Linked DNA regions of Coturnix japonica. The main gene of each other region encodes a partner of the protein of the gene in region 3 in a complex. Links are inferred from orthologs where the notes say so. Each region holds a gene or a part of one and is shown on either strand. Other genes may lie near its edges.

Evidence for each region.
Region 1: POLE3 (region 3) and CHRAC1 share a complex: the UniProt entries of both Homo sapiens proteins name them as parts of the CHRAC ISWI chromatin remodeling complex. The link is inferred for Coturnix japonica from reciprocal best matches to the Homo sapiens genes POLE3 and CHRAC1.
Region 2: POLE3 (region 3) and BAZ1A share a complex: the UniProt entries of both Homo sapiens proteins name them as parts of the CHRAC ISWI chromatin remodeling complex. The link is inferred for Coturnix japonica from reciprocal best matches to the Homo sapiens genes POLE3 and BAZ1A.
Region 4: POLE3 (region 3) and POLE4 share a complex: the UniProt entries of both Homo sapiens proteins name them as parts of the DNA polymerase epsilon complex. The link is inferred for Coturnix japonica from reciprocal best matches to the Homo sapiens genes POLE3 and POLE4.
Region 5: POLE3 (region 3) and POLE2 share a complex: the UniProt entries of both Homo sapiens proteins name them as parts of the DNA polymerase epsilon complex. The link is inferred for Coturnix japonica from reciprocal best matches to the Homo sapiens genes POLE3 and POLE2.

The regions. Positions count from the first base shown.
Region 1 is NC_029517.1:131,125,147-131,129,343, reverse strand, and holds the start of CHRAC1 (chromatin accessibility complex protein 1), read right to left. Parts: upstream 2,805-4,197; 5' UTR 2,757-2,804; coding exon 2,583-2,756; intron 2,415-2,582; coding exon 2,288-2,414; intron 920-2,287; coding exon 774-919; 3' UTR 1-773. UniProt on the Homo sapiens protein: Forms a complex with DNA polymerase epsilon subunit POLE3 and binds naked DNA, which is then incorporated into chromatin, aided by the nucleosome remodeling activity of ISWI/SNF2H and ACF1.
Region 2 is NC_029520.1:32,626,959-32,630,935, forward strand, and holds the start of BAZ1A (bromodomain adjacent to zinc finger domain protein 1A), read right to left. Parts: upstream 2,806-3,977; 5' UTR 2,450-2,805; intron 2,329-2,449; exon of another isoform or gene 2,226-2,328; intron 1,852-2,225; 5' UTR 1,829-1,851; coding exon 1,716-1,828; intron 1-1,715. UniProt on the Homo sapiens protein: Regulatory subunit of the ATP-dependent ACF-1 and ACF-5 ISWI chromatin remodeling complexes, which form ordered nucleosome arrays on chromatin and slide edge- and center-positioned histone octamers away from their original location on the DNA template to facilitate access to DNA during DNA-templated processes such as DNA replication, transcription, and repair.
Region 3 is NC_029532.1:789,229-793,405, reverse strand, and holds POLE3 (DNA polymerase epsilon subunit 3), read right to left. Parts: upstream 2,806-4,177; 5' UTR 2,736-2,805; coding exon 2,670-2,735; intron 2,595-2,669; exon of another isoform or gene 2,534-2,594; coding exon of another isoform or gene 2,477-2,533; exon of another isoform or gene 2,460-2,476; intron 2,394-2,459; coding exon 2,308-2,393; intron 2,123-2,307; coding exon 2,004-2,122; intron 1,515-2,003; coding exon 1,354-1,514; 3' UTR 377-1,353; downstream 1-376. Other genes in the region: ALAD (delta-aminolevulinic acid dehydratase), read right to left, coding at 147-210. UniProt on the Homo sapiens protein: Accessory component of the DNA polymerase epsilon complex. Participates in DNA repair and in chromosomal DNA replication.
Region 4 is NC_029543.1:373,733-377,198, forward strand, and holds POLE4 (DNA polymerase epsilon subunit 4), read right to left. Parts: upstream 2,106-3,466; 5' UTR 2,089-2,105; coding exon 1,906-2,088; intron 1,770-1,905; coding exon 1,685-1,769; intron 1,578-1,684; coding exon 1,536-1,577; intron 1,077-1,535; coding exon 1,063-1,076; 3' UTR 511-1,062; downstream 1-510. Other genes in the region: PRAM1 (PML-RARA-regulated adapter molecule 1), read left to right, coding at 2,903-2,905. UniProt on the Homo sapiens protein: Accessory component of the DNA polymerase epsilon complex. Participates in DNA repair and in chromosomal DNA replication.
Region 5 is NC_029520.1:52,269,726-52,273,236, reverse strand, and holds part of POLE2 (DNA polymerase epsilon subunit 2), read left to right. Parts: intron 1-892; coding exon 893-965; intron 966-1,895; coding exon 1,896-2,068; intron 2,069-3,511. UniProt on the Homo sapiens protein: Accessory component of the DNA polymerase epsilon complex. Participates in DNA repair and in chromosomal DNA replication.

The DNA.
Region 1 (4,197 bases), on a different chromosome or scaffold from region 3:
CAACAATCCACGTTTAACAGACTTCACTCAGCGTATTTTATCAGAGCACCACGGGCACACAGAGCTGATTACAGAGGAAGGATCTTGTACACATTGATGCTGTTATCCACCACATCTACTTCTTATCACTGCGGCCACTGAAACACATTCGCTGTTGGAATGGTTCTCGTCCTCTACTCAGCTTCTGTGCGGATGTGCCGGTTTAGGCTGCATTACAGCAAGAGCTTTATTATTATTATTATTCTTTTTTTTAAAGCTAAATCAAAATCAAAACAGAACACTCATTCAAATCGGGCTTGGTCCACTGCTAATGCCCTGCCACTGTTCCGGAATACAGGGGAAGGGTTGGATCGCTTCCTGGCTCCCCAAGCAGAAGAGGACCAGGGGGAGCAGATCCTGTGTAAAACCCCTCCCCTCACCTGAGAAACACAACATGGGAAAGAGCTCCCTTTAAAGAGTGAAAGAGCTTTTGGACTGAGAGCTGCCTGTGAGGAATTGTACGTTTGGAAAACGATTGTCTGAAGAAGTCATTCTCATTCATCTGAGCAAGTTCTGCTGTCAGCTTTACATTAGTGCTTCTCTTGTCACCACGTTTCTGAGGGAAGAATTCCATTCTTCAGGAAGTACGCAGTTCAGTTTTTAAACTTCTTAAAGCAAAAGCAGATGGCTCAGTGTATAAATAAATCCAGCATCTGGATTCTCAGTCACAAAAATAACATCCTTTACGCAACAAAAAAAAATGGATCAATTATGAAGCAGCTTCCCATTTAGCCTTAAGATCCAACAGCTTCATCCACAGCTTCATCATCATCCTCTTCATCATCATCCTCTTCATCACAGTTCCCCAACTCTCCACCTCGCTTCTCTTTTTCGAGCATTTTTAGGTATTTGCTAGCTAGGATTTTCTTTGGCAAGATATCTGGAAGGGAGAATGGCTTCTTTTAGTCAGTGTAAGTACTTACATTGCCTATTTCATAGTGTTGCATTCATACAGGATCACACAGTCACAGAGGTTAGAAGGGACTGAGCAGCACTAAACAAAACCAAAGCAACTAACACATTTCAGTTAATAACCAGTTAATTTAGCCTGGCGTACAGATGTATCACAAGTGGAAGTGGATGTAATTCCTTTTTTCTTTTTTAACTATAAGCAATGTTATTTGTTTGATGTTAAATGGGATGCTCAATTACTCAACAGCCTTTGAGAGATTCAATAGGACAGCTGCCTTACTTGTGTCCTAGACAAACCTGATTACTGTGTTCAGGTAAGATGCTCATTCAGGGCAGTAACGATGGCCCTGAGACAAGGGCCATCAAATATCTCATTCTCAGACTCTATCCTATGTCCATGCCCTTTCAGAGTGAAACATTACCAATAAATTACAACAAGAGAAAGGTCTGCATGCACATGTGCGTACAGATGTAAATATGTGCATTAAAAAAGAGAGAGGAACCATAGGATGCATAATTTTCAACAAACAGGATTTGCAGAATTAAATGCTTTTTGAGCCATGTAATTTGTCACATCTTTTTTGGGTCTTGTTTTACAAGCTGAAAGCTTTTAAATGTTGTTGGCATGTTAGAAACGCTTATGGCAATACACTGAGCACTAATTACCCCAGTATAATTTTGCAACACTGGAGAAATCCCTGTCCACAAATAGGTGTTTTCAGCAATGTAGATTATGAGTTTGATTTGAATCACAGAATAGATTGGGTTGGAAGAGACCTTAAAAGCCTATCTAGTTCCAACTATATATGGTCTGGGCTGCCACCCACCAGACCAGGCTGCCCAGGGTCCCACCCAACCTGGCCTTGAACCCCTCCATGGAGGGGGAATCTCCAGCTTCTCTAGGCAGCCTGTTGCTGTGCCTCACCACCCTCTCAGTAAAAAATAAGAAAAGTAATAATAAAATAAAAATTAATAAAAATCCAATTTAAATCTCCCCTCTTTTAGTTTTAACCCCCCCCCCCCCTTGTTCTATCGCTGAGACCATGTAAAAAGTCAGACTTCCTCCTGCTTGTAAGCTCCATTCAAGTGCTGCAATGAGGTCCCTCTGGAGCCTTCTCTTCCCTAAGCTAAAGAACCTTTCTTCATAAGAGAGGTGCTCCAGCCCTTTGATCATCTTTGTGGCCCTCCTGCAGACCTGCTCTAACAACTCCACATCTTTTTGCACACATAATAAGGGCACCTAGCAGAGGTGATTGCAAAAGCAGGAGTGGAAGAGTGGCTAAAGTGCAGCAGATCTACAAAACTACACACAGGATTACCACTGCTCTACAGATACCTGCAAGGAACTGAAAGGTTTCGCACTCCTCTGCGGTGTGAGACAGGTCGCTGTAGGTGAGGGCGTTATTCTCCTTGCCTCTGCCGTGTTTGTAGGAGTACGACGCCAAATACTGAACGAAAAGCTCCTAAAACGGAAAGCAAATAATAGTGACTCGGATATAAAAAAGGCAGTTTAACTCCCAATCAAAGCCATAAAAAATTAAAGTGCAGGTATATACAGGGCGCTGGATGCTGTGGCGCTGAGGGAAAAGGCGCAACCCGGCCGAGAGGGGAGGGAAAGCGGGAGACGCTACCGTGGCTTTAGCGGTGAGGAAAAGCGCGTCCTGGTTGATGCTGGAAACCTCCGGCGAGCTCTTCATGATGACTCGGATCCGCGATAGCGGCAGTGACACCAGCCGGTTCTCCCCGCCGCTCAACCTGGCCGCCATTTTACCCCCCCGGCGCGGCCCCGGCCTTTCACCCCTCATCGTAGCGAGAAATGGGCGGCAGCAGCTCGGCCCCCTGGGAGCTGTAGTCCGTGACCGACAGAGGGAACCCGAGCTCCGTTGGAGGGAGGAGGAGGAGGGACTACAGCTCCCGTGAAGCCGAGCGCTGACCGGGCGGCGGGAGGACTACGAGCCCCCGCGCTCGGCCGTTGCCGGCTCTGGTGCTATGGGCGGGATGGCGGCTCCTCACAGCCCCTCAGAGCGGGTCTCACAGAATCATAGAATGACCCGGGTTGGAAGGGACCTCAAGGATCATTATGTTCCAACCCCCCTGCCCAGCAGGGCCACCAAACATACACCTTTACTAGATCAGGTTGCCCAGGGCCCCGTCCAACCTGGTCTTGAACACCTCCAAGGACGGGGCATCCACAACCTCCCAGGGCAGCCTGTTCCAGGGTCTAACCACTCTCCTAGTGAAGAACTTCCCCCTAACGTCCAACCTAAATCTTCCCTCTTTTAACTTAAAACCATTTCCCCATGTCCTGCTATTGTCAGCCCTTTCGAAGAGTTTACTCCCCTCCTGGGAGTCAGTTCCCTTCAGGTATTGAAAGGCTGCAATGAGGTCACCCCGCAACCAAGGGTCTCATACTGCTTGAGCGCCTGGAACTCGTTTATAATGGCAAATAGGCGCTTCCTAAATATAATCCAAGTAGAGGCCAGCGGCTACAGAGTCATGAGTGTAATCACAGGTTGCTAAACGCCTCATTAAGCTGCTGCAGCCCAATAGCAGGGAGCGCTGTCTGGTATCCTGGCGCTTGTAGGCGTGCTGGGTGTGGAGAGCATAAGTAAACTATGAAGTAATGATGGCGGTGGTGACTTTATGAATGCATTCCACATATATGTAGCACCTACACTCTGTGTTGAGCTGCAGGTGGATGGGGAATGGCTGTGGGTATGGTCAGCAATGTCTTGCACAGCCTGTGGTTTGGATGGGTGCACAACTTGTTGGGTAAAATGTGGCACCTTCAACAGTTGTCAGCAACTTAATACAGCGATAGCACAACAATATATATTTGTTCATTGGCTTTGGGTCCAGCATCACCGTATCTGGAGACAACTTTGACAGTTAAGCAACAGCAATCAAAACCTCTTGGACTGCGTGATTCACTTCAGAGTACAACACTGGTGAAATCACTCTGTAGATTATATCCAAAGTGAAGTGTTATGTACAATGATGCTGTATATGTATCGATCAGGCTCAGTTTGTTTGATCCTTGTAGTCTTGTGACACCTTGTGGAAACAGTTGACATTACTATGACAGCGAGATACATATTTAAGCATCTTCTCAGTTTCTCCACCACTTGGAATGAATTCAACCAGGAGATTGAGTAGCTTAATGGCAATGTCAAAGCTCTACACTGTTGTGTTTACAGAGTCACAATCTGATTATCTCCTAGAGACAATAAAACATCAACTACTCCA
Region 2 (3,977 bases), on a different chromosome or scaffold from region 3:
CACCCAGCTGCAGCATGACATATCATGTAAAAAATACTGGGCTTGTCGCTGCAAAGCATCCATTTTCTCCATGCAGAAAAATAAATTAATAATAATAATAATAAATAAACACAGCAAAGATATGTGCAGGAAAGGTGGAAGTCCTTTCCCAAACGCCATATCCCAGCCTCGACCTCAGGGTGAGCCACCCACAGGCACTGCTAGGGACGGCCTGTGTGAACAAGCTTAAATTTATCCCTTCATTCATACTTCGGTTAAACATGGGATTTGGTCCCGCATTAAACATTCACCACACCGCGCCAAAGCTGAAAGATACCTTTCATGCTCAAATTTACTCTAAACTATATATATATATATACACACACACACCAGAAACGTACTCCAGAGCCGTGTCAACACTGCACGGGAGCCATCCCATGACGTGCCAGCGATAACGGAACGCACAAGGGCAGTTTGTGACACCCGGGGCCGCCGCAGCCATCCCCGCAGCGCCAGGCAGTTTCCCAACCCGGCCCCGGCCCGACTGTACTCGGCGAGATGCATTTGAGTAAGAAAAACAAGTCTAAGCACGAAAAAGATCTAGGTGTGCTCTAATTTCGCATGCTGCGAACGAGAAGCGTTTCTGATTTAATCTCATTAGTCTGCACGTCTGTTGTGCAGACAAAAAAAGGAGAGCTCGGCGCTGGGGCCCCCCCGCAGGTGGGACGGAGCCGAGCGGCCCCGGGGCACAGAGCCCCGCGCCGAGAGGAGCTGAGCACTTTCCGCCTATTGTTCTGACAGCGCTGACACCAACTTAGGGACGAGCCCGGGCTCCCCCCTGCACTAACGACAGCTCGACTGCCGCCGGTCTGCGCACCGGCAGAATAAAAGGACGGACGGGGGGGGGGGAAGCAGCCAGAGAACTGGAACCGGACGGAGCTGGGGACAGGTGTCCCCCGCCGGACGAGCGCACCGGCTCCGCTCCGTGCCCCCCCCCCAGCCCCCGCCCGGAAGCAGGTGCAGCGCCGCGGGCTCCCGGGGCCGGGCCGCGTCCAGCCGGGTCAGTCGTCGGGCCGGCAGCCGGCGGAGGGCGGGGCGAGGGCGGCCATGGGCGGCGCGGCGGCCCTGACACCGGCCCGGGAGAGGGTGCCGGGAACAAGGGGCTCCGCGCGGCCCTGCGGCTCAGCGCACACACACATACACACACGCACGCACATACACACACAACAATAGCGCGGTGGGTGCGTGCCACGCTCCACGCGCGGAGCCGCCGCCGAATCCCGGGCCCGGCGCGCGCGGCGGCCGTTGGTTGTTGCCGCGTCCCGGCCTTGCGCAGCACCGACACGCGGCGGGATGGAGGCGGGGGGGGGAGAAGCGGCGGCCCGGGGCTCAGCGCCGCCTCCCACGCGCGCAACTTTCACTTCCCCGCGGAAGGAGCCGGGTGGCAGCGGGCAGCCCCCCCTACAGCCCCCCAGGAAAGACGGGGCCGCGGGGTCACCCCGCCGAGCGGGGCAGGGATTCCCCGGGCCGGGAGATCCGCCCTCCCTCTCCCCCCACCCCGCGGTGGGGCACGGGCTCGGCGCCAGCCGCGACCCCTCCCCGCCGGGCGCCCCGCGGCGCTGCCGGGGAATCCCCTCCCTCCTCCTCCCCGCCCAGGTGTCAGCCGTTGGGGGTAACCGCTCCCGGCCAAGGGGAAGAACGGAGGGAGGGGGGGCGTTGGGGGGCGACCGACTTACTCGTAGTCCCTGAAGATCTCGTTAGTGACCCTGCAGTAAAACACGCGCTCGTCCGGCCGCAGGTCGGCGGGGGGCTTCTCCCTCACGAAGGGCTTTCGGTGCAGCAGCGGCATCGCCGCGTTCCGTTCTGTCCTCGCTGCGCCGGGACCCGGGGAGAAAGGAGACGAAGGGTGAGAAGCGGTGAGAGCGGGCCCGGCGCGTCCCTCCCCCGGGGGCGCCGGAGAAGGAGCGGCAGAGAACAGCGGCACGGCGGGATCCGGCGGCGGCCTTTTGTGTGCCTGACACGCCGCTGCCTGCCTGGGACTGCGCGGGGAGCGGCGGCGGATCCTTCCTCCCCCGCCTCCTCCCGCCGCCTTCACAATGGGGCCGTGACGCCGAGCGGCGGGCGGGCGCGGTGCTCCCCCCCCTCCCGCGCCACACAACGTGCTCGGCGCGGGGACACCCCGGCCGCCGCCGCCGGCTTTGTCTCCGTCGCCCCCCCCCCCGCCCCCCGGGTCACCCCTTCCTCACCCCTTCCCCGCCTCCGAGCCGCGCGCCGCGGCCGGACACAACTTCCACTCCCCGCGGGGCGAGCGCGGCGGCCGCTTCCTGCCTGCTGGCCGCCCCGGCGCGCTCCGCAGCCCTTTCCGCCCCGGCCGCTCCCCGGCCGCCGCCTCCTGCCTCCGCGGGACGGCGCGGCCCTGGCTCCGGGTGCGGCGCGGTGCGGGGGGCTGCCCGGCCCCTCCGCCTCCTACCTGGAGCCGCTGCCCCGGCTGCTCGGGCGGTACGTAACGCGGCCCGCGGCTCTACCCCGCTTCTCCTCTGCCCCCCAGCTCCCGGGAAGTTTTTGATCTACTTCTTCGAGCCCTCAATCAGGAAGAGCTGCTGGGAGGAGCTTTCCACTTCTCTCCCCTACATCTTTATTGGCCGCTCGGTGCCTTCCAGCGTGTGTCACACAGGAAGACAGAGAGCTACATTATTAATTAATGGCTGAGAGGGCTCATCCTCCATTTTTGAATTATCAGCCTGCGATCTGCCGGCCGAGGGGAGGAAGGCGGTTCTCCCCGCTCGCCCCCCGGCCCCGTGGATCCCCGCCCCGGCAGCGCCGCGCTCAGCAGGCAGCCCCCGGCCGCAGCTTTCCCTGCCCGAAGCCGGGGGCAGCCGGCAGCCGAGGCGCACGGCAGCACCGGGCTGTGCGTGTTGTGCTGCGGGGAAGGTCGGCAGCGCGTCAGTTGTGCCCGGAGCTGGGCCCCGTTCCGCCGCCCCCTTTATTTTTCCGCCACTTCGTTGGAAACGTCCGTACATCGCGCTACCGGTGTACTCGGTTTTCTGTTGGTAGCGGTTTTATTTTTCACCGTTTTTACTGTCTTTAAGGCATTTCCATGCGTAATTAAATCATGGACCTTAGCCTAATTGTGATCTCTTACGTGACAGCCGGCTTAGAGACGTATGCATAGAGCCCACCGCAAGCTCCAGCGCTTACATAGAAGCGCACTTAACTATCGCAGAGCCCTCCCCCTCACACACAGAACCACCCGGGTGGGCGGTTTCTGGGGGCTCACATCTAAGCAGGAGCCTTCAGCATCAACCCTGCTCAGGCACATAAAGGTGCTGCGCTGCTTCCTGCACCTGTACAGGGGCTGTTTGTCTTCCGTGCAAGGATCGGCGTTGCTGTAGCCCGGATGACTGCAATCTTAAAGAATGTTTACACTCCAAGTCGTGAATTGCTTTGTTTAAAAAGTGATCGGGTTTTAATGAAAAGCGCTGAGAAATGCCAGTGCTCTCCTCAAGTTTACAAAGTACTGAACTTGAACTACAGCACAGGTTAGCTCCGAGTTCCACCAGCTCATTTTTATTTGCCACTTGGCTTCGCTTTCAGTTTGTAATTAATTACCAGCAAATGGCACAAATGCAACTTTCAGTTAATGCACTTTTAGCGCATCAAACATCAATTTTAGTCAGTTTTGCATCAAAACTCTACAGTATGCCACGGCTGTGACATTTAGTCTTGGCAGCCCTCACGATTACAGTGAGATTTTGCAACACTACGCTTTGTTTTCAACTCAAACTCCTCGGCAGATGGGATTAAATTGGAACCTCGGCTTATATAAAAATAATTACATTTCTAAATCTCAAGTTGGAGAGAAGAACTAGAACATGTGAACCTGCAGCTCACAAATGAGAAGGGAACAGACAGACTCGAGTTGATCATTTTTGAAAGTATCTTTACTTTGAAGCCAGTATCGTGATATCTGGGAGTTGGGCTGGTTTTTCCTTACGCCT
Region 3 (4,177 bases):
CGGGCCCTATGGACACCTCCCGGCCCCGTAACGCTCCGTGCCGATCCGGGCACTGCGGGCCGCTCTCGGTGCGGTGTCGCCCGACTCCCCGCAATAACCCCGCAGCACCGGCCGAACCGCGCTCAGACCCGCGACCCCGCGCTCACCTGCCGCCGCTTCCCGCCGCAGCACACAGCCAGATTTGCATAGCCCCGCCCCCCTGATTTGCATATCACAAGTCTCGCGCGGCGGAGCGCGGGAAAGGGCTGGCGCGCGCTTGTCTTGGCGCGCTCCCGGTGGCGGGAATTTGGCTCGTGGGCGCTGTGTGACCTGAACCGCAACGCACTCACACCACGAACAGCTCATGGATTAACCATGGAAATCAACCAGTCAAGACCCGTAAAGAATCTGAACTTTTATTTAAATCCTGGTCCGGGACGGGATACACCCCAACAGGTACCAGAAAGCTCAATAACATGGAATAAAGCCCCCAGACATAGAAGGAAACCAGTAATGCAGCACCCAGCAGCACCCAGCAGCCTGTCTGCAGGAGCTGCAGCTCCACAGAGGAGGGGAAGGAGCTGAGACCATCAGCTGCAGCACAACACACACTTGCTGCAGCCTTTTGCTGTTCCTCGGACATAATTTTGCAGGTAGCTTTGCTTAAGGTCGTTCATCAAAGTTCCCTCTTTGTCTCCAAGGGCTTGAAAGACACAAAACAGCATTTCTGGTATAGATTCACTTTGGAAGCACCTTCAAGTCTTTTTTTGTTATTATTCTGGTTCATGGAGGGGAGGAATTCAGCTCACTGACCCTCGTACTGTGTGCTGCATCCAGCTGGTGAGGCTGAAAGAGCATCACTGTGAAAGAGCAGGGGAGAGAAGGCACAGCCAGAATGCAAGACAACGAAGGGAAAAACATCACTTAGAGCTTGAACAGTCAGCTTCTAAGGCTCTCAACATCATCACGTAGACTCTAAACCCTGAGGGGTTAATGAGCCAGGATTCAGCTCTCCGCTTGGTTGAGTGAGCTTATTCATAAGCTCTTTCAGGTTCTCCAGGTCACTTCAGTGCTGAGCCATCCGACATTGCTCTTTTTTCCCTTTGTTTCAGAGTCAATCCAGCATAAAAATACCAGACCCATTACTGTCTGTTCAGCACCTGGGGAAGCTGCCAAGTCCCCTGCGTGCAGGGAGGTGAGGCACCCATGAGAAATGCTTTAGCCAAGTCCTTTGTGTACAGGCTAAAGCCAAAGAGAGATTCCAGAAGAACAGTACAGAGCTCTACTGGAAACCAGACGGGACATGGCCAGATTTCTTTACAACATTTATATCCCTAGTAACAAAACCCAACCCTGAATGTCCCATTGGCAAGCTCAGTTGTCCACCTCTTCCTCATCATTTTGCTCTTCTTCCTCCATCCTTTCATCATCATCATCATTATCATCTTCTCGGCTCTTATCTTGTTCCTCTGAGTCTGCCTTCTTGTCTTTATCTTTTCTCGCTTCTTTCTTTCCCTTCTGTTCACGTCTGTAAACTACAAAGAAAAAGAAGAGTGAAAACCTGCAAGCCGGTGTTTCCACCACGTGAGCACTACAGCAGCTGGGGCCCAGTGTCCACTTAATGAACTCACAGCAGCAGCTCCCCCTATTATTAGAGCTGTGCTGTCCAGCCCGTGAGAAATCAGGTGAAGTTTCAGCAGATAAATGCTGAATAGGACACAGGATTTCACATGTGCAGGCAACACCTACGACTTCCCTTACACAGACCTAAGAGGGGACTGATAGCAGATAAGACTTTCTCAGTTCTCATCAGTGGTGAAATGTTATCCCAGCTGTTAAGGTGCACATTATTAACATCCACACAAGCTGCAGTGTAAGATGCCAAGCAAAGAAGTATTTGCAAACTCTTGCTTTTTTGCAAAGTCTTGTTTTTACAGGACAGACAATTAAGTGCTGCTTGTCTGATGTAAGCAAACAGAACTTGGTGCTATGGCAGCTCCGTCCATAGGGTCACAGGCCGATACCTTCCAGGGATTCCTTCAGAGGAGCAATAAACCGCTGGAACTCCATTTCCTCCATGGCAGAGAGCACATCGCCAGCATTCAGCGTCTTCCTCTTCCCCTTCATGGCAAAGTTATTCGCACTGCTCAAAAACAAGAAGAGTTAATGGATAACTGCCATCATTCACTCTTCTTTATTACAGTTCTAAACGTGTCCAGAGGGGGGCCACAAAAATACACGATGGATGCACACCCAGCAACGAGCCCCAGCCCAACCAGCAGAGATCTGAGTTACTAACAGCAGCTTATACACACAACAAGCTCTTACCATGAGGTCGCATAGAGCACGAACACACTCGCTGCTCGGGATATCGCACTGCGGGCTTCTTTGGAGATGTTCACCCCGTCGGGCAGCTGGGAAGCAAATAAAGACCCGTTAATCGCTGCTGGGAAGCAAATAAAGAGCTGTGAACTGATGCTTTAAAGCAAATAAAGACCCGTGAACTGATGCTGGAAACCAAACCCAGGCCTGTCAGCTGCTGCTCCGAGCACATATCGGTTCTGCTGTGGCACTGAGCTCAGCACGGCCCTCAGGTAAGGCATTACGAGCAGCACAACCCCACAACGAGGATCTATGAGGGACAGCGAGGTCTCCGTATGGCCCAGCCCCGCAGCCCGTCCCGCACCCACCGCCTCCTTGATGATGCGGGTGATGACGGCGTTGGGCAGGTTCAGGTCCTCCGGTCTCTCCGCCATATTGGGCCTCCCGCGCCGCCACGGCCCACAATGCACCGCTCCTTCCCGCCCTGCCCCGCGGCCGCCGTTGGGGGGGGGAACAATATGGCGGCGGGGGGCCAATATGGCTCATTCGGCCTCTGGAAAGAAAACGAACTGTGATGTGGTGGAACAAAGCAGCACTCCGTTATTCCTCACCACACATAGAATGTGACTTGACAGGACACACCACGCAGTACATCAGCATCCACATCCATCTTTCTCCCATAAACATGAGCTGATTGATGGCCCTTTGTGTGCTCAGTGCTCCCAGTGCCCACCATTGAGGGCTCTGACCCGCTGCCATCCACTGCCCCCAGCTCAGGAGACCCCCATTGCTCATAAAGCCTTGATAAGCTCAGCCTCACTAAAGCTGAACGTTTCCAGCCCATGGATTCCTTTTGCTGAACCAATAGATTGGTCACTAATCCCTATTGCTAAAGAAGAAGGTTGACCCAGTGCTGTGCTGGGTTGGTTGCTCCCGCTGCTGGAAAATGCATGTAGGAAAGCCTGCACTGCCAGATCCTGCTCCCAACTTCAGGTTTTTAAGCTAACTTTTAACTTTTTAAGCTAACTTCAGGTTGGGAGCAGGATCTGGCAGTGCAGGCTTTCCTACATGCATTTTCCAGCAGCAGGAGCAGCATTGGGGATGATGCACAGCAGTTGTGAGATGTATTAATAGCTGGACTTACAGCTCGTATTGGACACAGTAACGTGTTGTGGTGCTGCACAGCATTACGGACACACAAAGGTCAGAGCTGGAGGAAGGACTGTGTGCGTGACAGCGCTGATTGCTTTCCCACTTACAGTAATTGTGTTAATCAAAGCCTATCGTTGCGCACACAAACCGCTCTCAAATCTCGTTTCTAACTCTTCAATGTATTCTTCTGTTAACAATTCTTCTGCAGGGTCATTCGGCGGCTCTCAGGGGTGAAGTGCTGTAGCAGGTGTTGCATTACTTTTTAATGAAATAATGACCGATTGTAGCTGGTCCATTTGTAACTGTAACACACGCTGCTAATGCCCGCTTCTGGACCAGCTGGCGGCTCGCTGTTAGCAAAGCCATCAGAAGTTGATCTCTGTTTTGCCAGAAGGCGAGGTTATTTCCTATATGCATAACCTAAGAACAAAGCAAGGCAAACTTGTGTTATTGTGCAGTGGGGGTGGGCTGGAATAGAAGCAGAGATGATGTTGGTCCAGAGCCAGGGACAGACAAAGCTCCTCTGCTCCCAAATAAAGGCCAGGGAGTAATGCCAAGCTGTATTCTCAGCCCTTGCAGGCTTGTGAGCCCATTCACACCTCTTCTTCCACATCAGTTCTACCAGGGTCCACCGTAAACCACTTCTCAGAGCAAGTTATGAGTGAGCACAAGTCAGGGAGGTCTGCAAGGTGCTCAGTGCCAGAGTCGAGGGCAGGTCCTGTTG
Region 4 (3,466 bases), on a different chromosome or scaffold from region 3:
GGCTGCAGTTCTCATCTCTAAGTGACTTTGGCACCACTTTAGTGGCCAACACTTTACAGCTGCATGTGTAACTGAATCCAGAGCTGCTCCCAAAGGCCACAGACCCACGGTGAACAAAGGGACCCATTTTGTCCTGTCAGGACACCCCACAGCATCCCTGAGCCTCTGCTCGTGGGCTCAGCCCAAAGACAAACCCTGATTGACCTGCTGTGAGCAGGCGATGCTGCCCAGCAAAGCACAGCAGGGAGAGATCAGACACAAAACCAGGCACCCCTATGGGCCCTGTGCTCAATGGGCCTGAATCAGCCCCGAGGGCAGCAAAAGGAACCTGCTGGCAAGGAAGGCACCGTGCAGCTCTGCCCAAAGCAGGACAGCTCATGGGCCACACGCTGTGCTTTGGCAAGGGCAGGGAGGGCTGCAGCACAGCCCAGCAGATCCACGCACAGGAGAAGGGCCAGGTTCAGCAATGAGAGCAAAGGAGAAGAGCAGTGAAACACGGCAGGCAACGCCTTCAAAAGCAGGGATTTATTACTGTCCAGCTGTGACCATCGCAGAACTTGATGGAGCCATGCAGCCCTAACAGCAACACGAGCCTCTCTGCAGCTCATCTGTGTGCCTGGAGCGGAGCATCCCTTCCAAACTGCATCTGTGCCACAGGAACAGCAGAGCAGCACAGAGCAGCATCACTCAGAACAGCCACTCAAAACAGCTCCGCCTTTAATTGCACTGGCCAAAAAGGAACCCAACAAAACACACAGAGACCAAAACATCCACTTCAATAATGTATCTACAGACCAGCAGGTGGGATAAACCAACAGGGAGCTGCCTCGGGAGCTCAGCTCTGCTCCATGGTGCCTGGGGGGGGGGCAGGGCTGGGGAGCAGCAGCAGAACAAGGAGGTCAGAGTCCTACAAAATACTTACAACAAAAGCTTTCAACAAAGATCTTACAGACACTCAGTCGTTACACAAAGCACCGCGGCTGCCCACATTGGTGTCCCACTGCTGGGAAGTGCAGCCGGTGCCGGCCGACCCATCTGCACAGAACCCCATTGCTGAGCAGCTCAGTCCAAAGTGCCTGGAAACAAAAACAACGATGAAGCAAAGCAGCCTCAGGGACCAGAAAGGAAAATGAAACACAGCTACAAGAACAGCTGGAACTCGGGTTTATAGGGAGCTGTGGGTCTATGGAGGGGGCTATATGGGGATGTGGGGCTAAAAGGCCCAGATAAAGGGAGTATGGGGGGGAAACAGGGGGGCATGGGGCTATGGGGGGCTGTACCAGGGATATAGAGGAATATGTGGCTACAGGGAGCAGTGGGGGGGGCTATAGGAGGCTGTAGGGTTATAGGGGGGGCTATAAGTGGGGTGTGGGGCTGGAAGGCCCAGATACAGACCCAGATAGTGAGACCATGGGGCTGCAGGAGGGATACAGGAAGGATATAGGAGGGATATAGGAGGGATATAGGAGGGATATAGGAGGATGCGGGGCTGCTTTGAAAGGGATTATGGACTAATGGGGGAAACCGAAACTCACCCTCCAGAAAAGCGAACTCATCAACAGCCTCAATGGCGTTATCTGCAAAGGGAAAAGGGCTCAGTGCCGACACAGACAGAAGGGCCAACCGGGAAGAGCTGGGACGTTTCTCTTCTCTTCGGACCCCCCCCCCCGGTTCCGCCCCGTACCCAGGTCCTTCCTCTGCAGCGTTTTCCTCTTCCCCTGCTGGGCGAACACAAACGCGTCCTTAGCGATGTTCTCCACGAACAGCTCCTGCGGGGCGAGCACGAGCGTCACACGGACGGAACGGGACGGAACGGGACAGACCGGGACAGAACGGCACGGACCGGAGGCTGCCCCGCATTACCCCGCACTGCCCCGCGTTGCCCCGCCCGCCCCCGCCGCTCACCGCGGCCCGCGCCAGCACGAACACGGCCTCGTGGCTGGCCAGGCTGACGTCCGGGTCCGCCTTCACCAGCGCCTTCACCCGTGACAGCGGCAGCCTGGCACCACGCGCCGCTCCGGGTCCCGCTCCCGGTCCCGCTCCTCCCGCATCTTCCGCCGCCGCCTCCGGCCCCGCCGCCGCCGCCATCCCGCAACGCGCATGCGCAGTGAGTGCTGCCTGCGGGGCGGAGCGGAGCGCCGGCTGTCATCGCTGTGTGCCGCTGGGGGGCGCTGTGTCTCTGTGCCGCTGGGGGGCGCTGTGTCTCTGTGCCGCTGGGGGGCGCTGTGTCTGTCTGTGCCGCTGGGGGGCGCTGTGTCTGTCTGTGCCGCTGGGGGGCGCTGTGTCTGTCTGTGCCGCGGAGCCGGGCGCCCCGCACGGGACCGGGCCCCTCCCGCATCCCCGGCCGGGTTCTCCGTCCTCCCGCCGCCCCCGAACTCGCCCCCCACCCGCTCTGTGCCCCACATCCCGCCCTCCGGCCCCGCTGTGCCCCAAACTTCCGCTCTGTGCCCCAAATTCGGCTCTCCGCCCCCCTGTGCCCCAAACGCAGCCCCGCAGTCCCCATAACCCCCCATCACCCACGGACACGGACGGGGCTCCGCTCAGCCCGTTCCCCCCCGGCCCGATCCCTCCTGTGCCGATGCTGCGGCCCGGGGTCGCTCCCTGAGCCCACGTCGGTTCCTGGACGGGGCAGCAGCATCTCCTCCCCCCCCCCCCACTCTCACATTCAGGCCGCAGCCGCTTCCTGGCGTTGCGCGCAGCCCCGCACCAACACAACGTTAGGAAACAGCTTCTGCTTTCAGTGCCGGGCGGGCTGAGCTCCTGCAGCTCCTGCAGCTCCTGCAGCCCCTTCAGCCCCTTCAGCTCCTTCAACTCCTTCGGCTCCTTCGGCTCCTTCGGCTCGGACGGCCCGCACGGTTCTCAGGAGGGAGGAGAGCCCATAGGACGCGTCCGTGGATGGGAAATGGTGAGCGCGAATGGTCCGACCCGCACCCGCACATCGTCACAGCCGCACCGGGCTGGGGGCAGTGGCAGCTCCGGAGCCCCCCGAGCAGCTCCCGGGATGGGTCAGCACCGGGTGGGCTCAGACAGGACAAAGCATCGCGGTGCCAGACGCTGCTCAGGTCGCAGTGACAGCGGCGCCGTTGCCCCGACGGCGCCATCGCGGGCAGCTCCGCGTCCCGGCTCACGGAGCGGCCACAAACACCGGGACGGGTCCCAGCTGGAGCCCTCGGTGCCCTCCGAGCACAAATCCCATTTTCCACCGTTTTTTCGCTGCCGTCCGTGCAGAACGTGGGCAACGTGCGCTGCTGAGCCCCCGTGGGTTCTGCCCCGGGACCAGGGGGCACCTGCCCCTTTTTAACACCAATTTCACATTATTTAATGCCCCACATTTGAGATCCCGCGGCTGAAAATGTCGCGCTGGATTCTCTGCGCTCCGGCCGTTCTGTTGTGAAAGAAAACAAAGTGATGCAAGAGCAAAACGAACCGAAATCCCGGGAGGAGGAGAACTAAAGAGAGAGAGACG
Region 5 (3,511 bases), on a different chromosome or scaffold from region 3:
TGAGATTGTTGGCCCTAAACCTTTCCTGTTATCTCAGGCTCTCGAGGCAGTGCTCTGTGACATTCTATGCTTTTCAGTGATGTCCGTGGGGTGAGAGAAGCCCTCATGGCATTGGGCTCAGTTGGTCTGTCTGCAGCATGCTTGGAGGAGATAGGACCAGAGGAAAACATGGACTAGAATAACTGAACAGCCTGGTCTGGTGGTTGGTGACCCTGCACATAACAGGGGGGCTGGAATGAGACGATCATTGTGGTCCTTTTCAGCCCAGGCCATTCTATGGTTCTATGACTCTGTGAATAAAAAATAAGGAAATGCTGCTTTGTGTTGTCAAAGCCTTGGTCCTTCAGAGGCTTCTCATTAAGAGAGTGTGTCTGTAGTTTTGGAGCCTTAGATGTGCAGTGATGGACGTTGGTGTCTGTGGGATATTGCTCTGTGCATCCTGTGAATATGTTTTGTGTTTAAAATTTGTGAAATACATTAAGTAGAAGAGAAGCACAAGTGGGGAATGGGTACCACTCAGTTACTGCTTTTAAGACATGGCAGTTCACAAGAAAGGGTGCGGTTTGATGCAGACCATTCAGACCCGGAAATGATTGCTGTTTTCCTACATTCTTACTCAGTTGGGTTGAGAAGATTATGTGGCTGTGCAGCAAATCCATTCAAAGAAATGGTCAAGGCCTAAAATAGTTGGTATCTCGCTCAGCTTGTTTTTCAGCCAGATAGTTCCCCGCTCCGGTTCACTGCTGAGCAGTGCAGGGACTGGTGCTGGCACAAGAGCGGGATTGATGGAGGCTGGGACTGAGCAGCTCAGCTGCCAACTGTCTGACTAATGTCTGGAGTATGATGCTGTTACAAAAACTAAAGGTTATTTTGTTGTTCAAAAATGTCTTAGGTTGGTATGAAGATGAAGTTTTTCATGTGAATGCCTTTGGATTTCCGCCTACTGAGCCGTCTGCTGCCACTAGGTATGAAACTGACTTTTGGCAGCCTCACTCTGACTTTGTATTTTGTTGTAGGTTTCCAAGTAAGCTCGTTATCAGTTTATAATTTTTGTGACATTGAAGTATGCTATTATTTCCCCTCCCCAAATATTTCAGAATAAATACTTTCTTTTCCTATGAGGAAAGGTTGAGGGAACTGGGCTTGTTCAGCTTGGAGAAGGCTGCAGGGAGACCTCATTGTGGCCCTGCAGTATTTGAAGGGAACATATAAACAGGAGAGGGAACGGCTGTATGTGAGGGTGGGCAGTGACAGGACAAGGGGGAATGGTTTGAAACTGAGACAGGGGAGGTTGAGGTTGGATCTTAGGAGGAAGTTTTTCCCCCAGAGGGTGGTGACGCACTGGAACAGGTTGCCCAAGGAGGCTGTGGATGCCCCATCCCTGCAGGCATTCAAGGCCAGGCTGGATGTGGCTCTGGGCAGCCTGGGCTGCTGGTTGGTGACCCTGCACACAGCAGGGGGTTGGAGCTGGATGATTATTGTGGTCCTTTTCAACCCAGGCCATTCTGGGATTCTGTGAAATACAATTTTAAGGAGGCAGTTCTGAGACTTGCATGTTCTGCGTGTTAATAACCACTGAGATCTAAGCATTTCTAGATGGCATAACTAAATACTATTAGATAGGAATATGGAACTCTGTATTGCTCAGGGAGTGGATGAGGGAGGGGACCGTGGGTACACATTACCCTGAGATAATCTGTGGAAGCCCATGCTTTAGATGTGGGTGACTGCCATTTCTTTTCCTTGGTTTCTCCATCAGCTACTAAATGATAAAGGATACAATTTGAGCTACCTTTCATAATAATGATAATTAAAATGGCTCAGGTGAGTCATAATCAAAACTAGTAATTATTTGGGAAGAGAACAGAGTTAACATGAATATTTTAATAATACAGAGCCTTCTATGGGAATATAAACTTCTTTGGAGGTCCTTCCTCAACTTCAGTAAAGGCTTCTGCAAAACTGAAGCAGCTGGAGGATGAAAACGAGGATGCCATGTTTGTGTTTCTTTCTGATGTGTGGTTGGACCAAGCAGAAGTACTAGAAAAGCTGCATACAATGTTTTCAGGTAGGTGGTGGCTGCTTTGAGTCTGAGCTTTGTTCTAGAGAAATTTTACCATCTCCCTTGATCCCTAGCAGTGCTGCTGGTGGCACTGGTGAGTGTGACAAGACACACAGCTAGCTGGCCCTGGGTCCACTTCTATGGCTATGCCCCCCCCTGCTTTGGGCTGAGAGCTCTGGCCTCGCGCTGAGCCTGCACAGGAAATATCCCATGGGAAACCTGCTTTGCAGAGCTGTAAGCTGATGTAGCTTTCTGTACTTGCATCCTGTGTTTGCTCACGTGAGCATCACTGTCCATGCAGGGCAAGCTGGTCAGCTTATGGCTGGCAGCTGGGCTGCTGTGCCCAGGGTCTGCTCACTGCGGTCTGATTGTGCTCTTTTGTGAAATAGGAAGTTTTGTACCTTGTTCACAGGTATGCCTTTAAATGAAAAGGTTGGGCATCGATTTCCAGGTGTCCTTTTGCTTTGTTTATTGTGTGTTTTGGGTGACTTTCAGTTCTGAGAAAGTAACAATAAACCCAGCTGTGGGCAGTATTCCACTGAAGCCCACTGAACCCCAGCCTAAGTAAAGCCAGGGAGGTCTTGCTGCAGTTTTAATGGTAACTATTTGCATTTCACGTTTGCTATTCTGTTTCTTTTGGATCTCTCTTTAACAGATTTACAAATTGTATTGTATTATATTTTTGCGAGCTGTCACTTCCTTTTCATCAACCTTTTAGCACCGATATTGCTTTGGGCAGTCGCCATTTTATGTGCTTTGACAGGAAAGTTCGTGAAATGTCGTCCTAGCCTTAGTTTAAAGAAAACATGGAGTTCATCAGAGATGAGCAGTCCCTCTTGAATCCTGTCTGCTTTTTACCAATGGAAAAATGTCAGTTATTCTCAAAATATGGGCTGTTTCTTCCCTGCATCATTACATTAGTAATGATGGCAATGTTTGGATAACAAGCATCTGTGAGATCTGTGAATTGCTTCTTTGTATTCCAGAACAGTTTTGGAACAGCTTGTCCTGTCTGCCTTAGGTAGAATGGAGGTGTGAGAGGGCGGCTGCCTTAAAAAACAAGCAGTATGAAATTAAGGGTGCCAATCTGCGATTCGCTTAAGGAAAATTGAACATGTTGTCATAATGTCTACTGAGAAGTGAAGTAGTTAACTCTGAAGCTAGGAAACCAGTTCTGTATCTTGATGAGAGTTGGCAAGATCCTTGAACCAAACCAAACCTGTGTCATTAGTGCTATGGTGAGGGTTAGTCAGCTTCATAATGCTAAAAAATGAGTTAAATATTGGGAGAGCTTTTGAATTGGAATGACTCATGGGGGTTAATAATAATTCATTGCTACTTACTTGCTGTTTTTCTCTTCAAGGAAAGAATGTATTATTATTATTAGGTCTTAGTTGTGTCATTGTGTGACTGGGTCAGTGCTTAGTTGTATACACACAAACAGTGTTG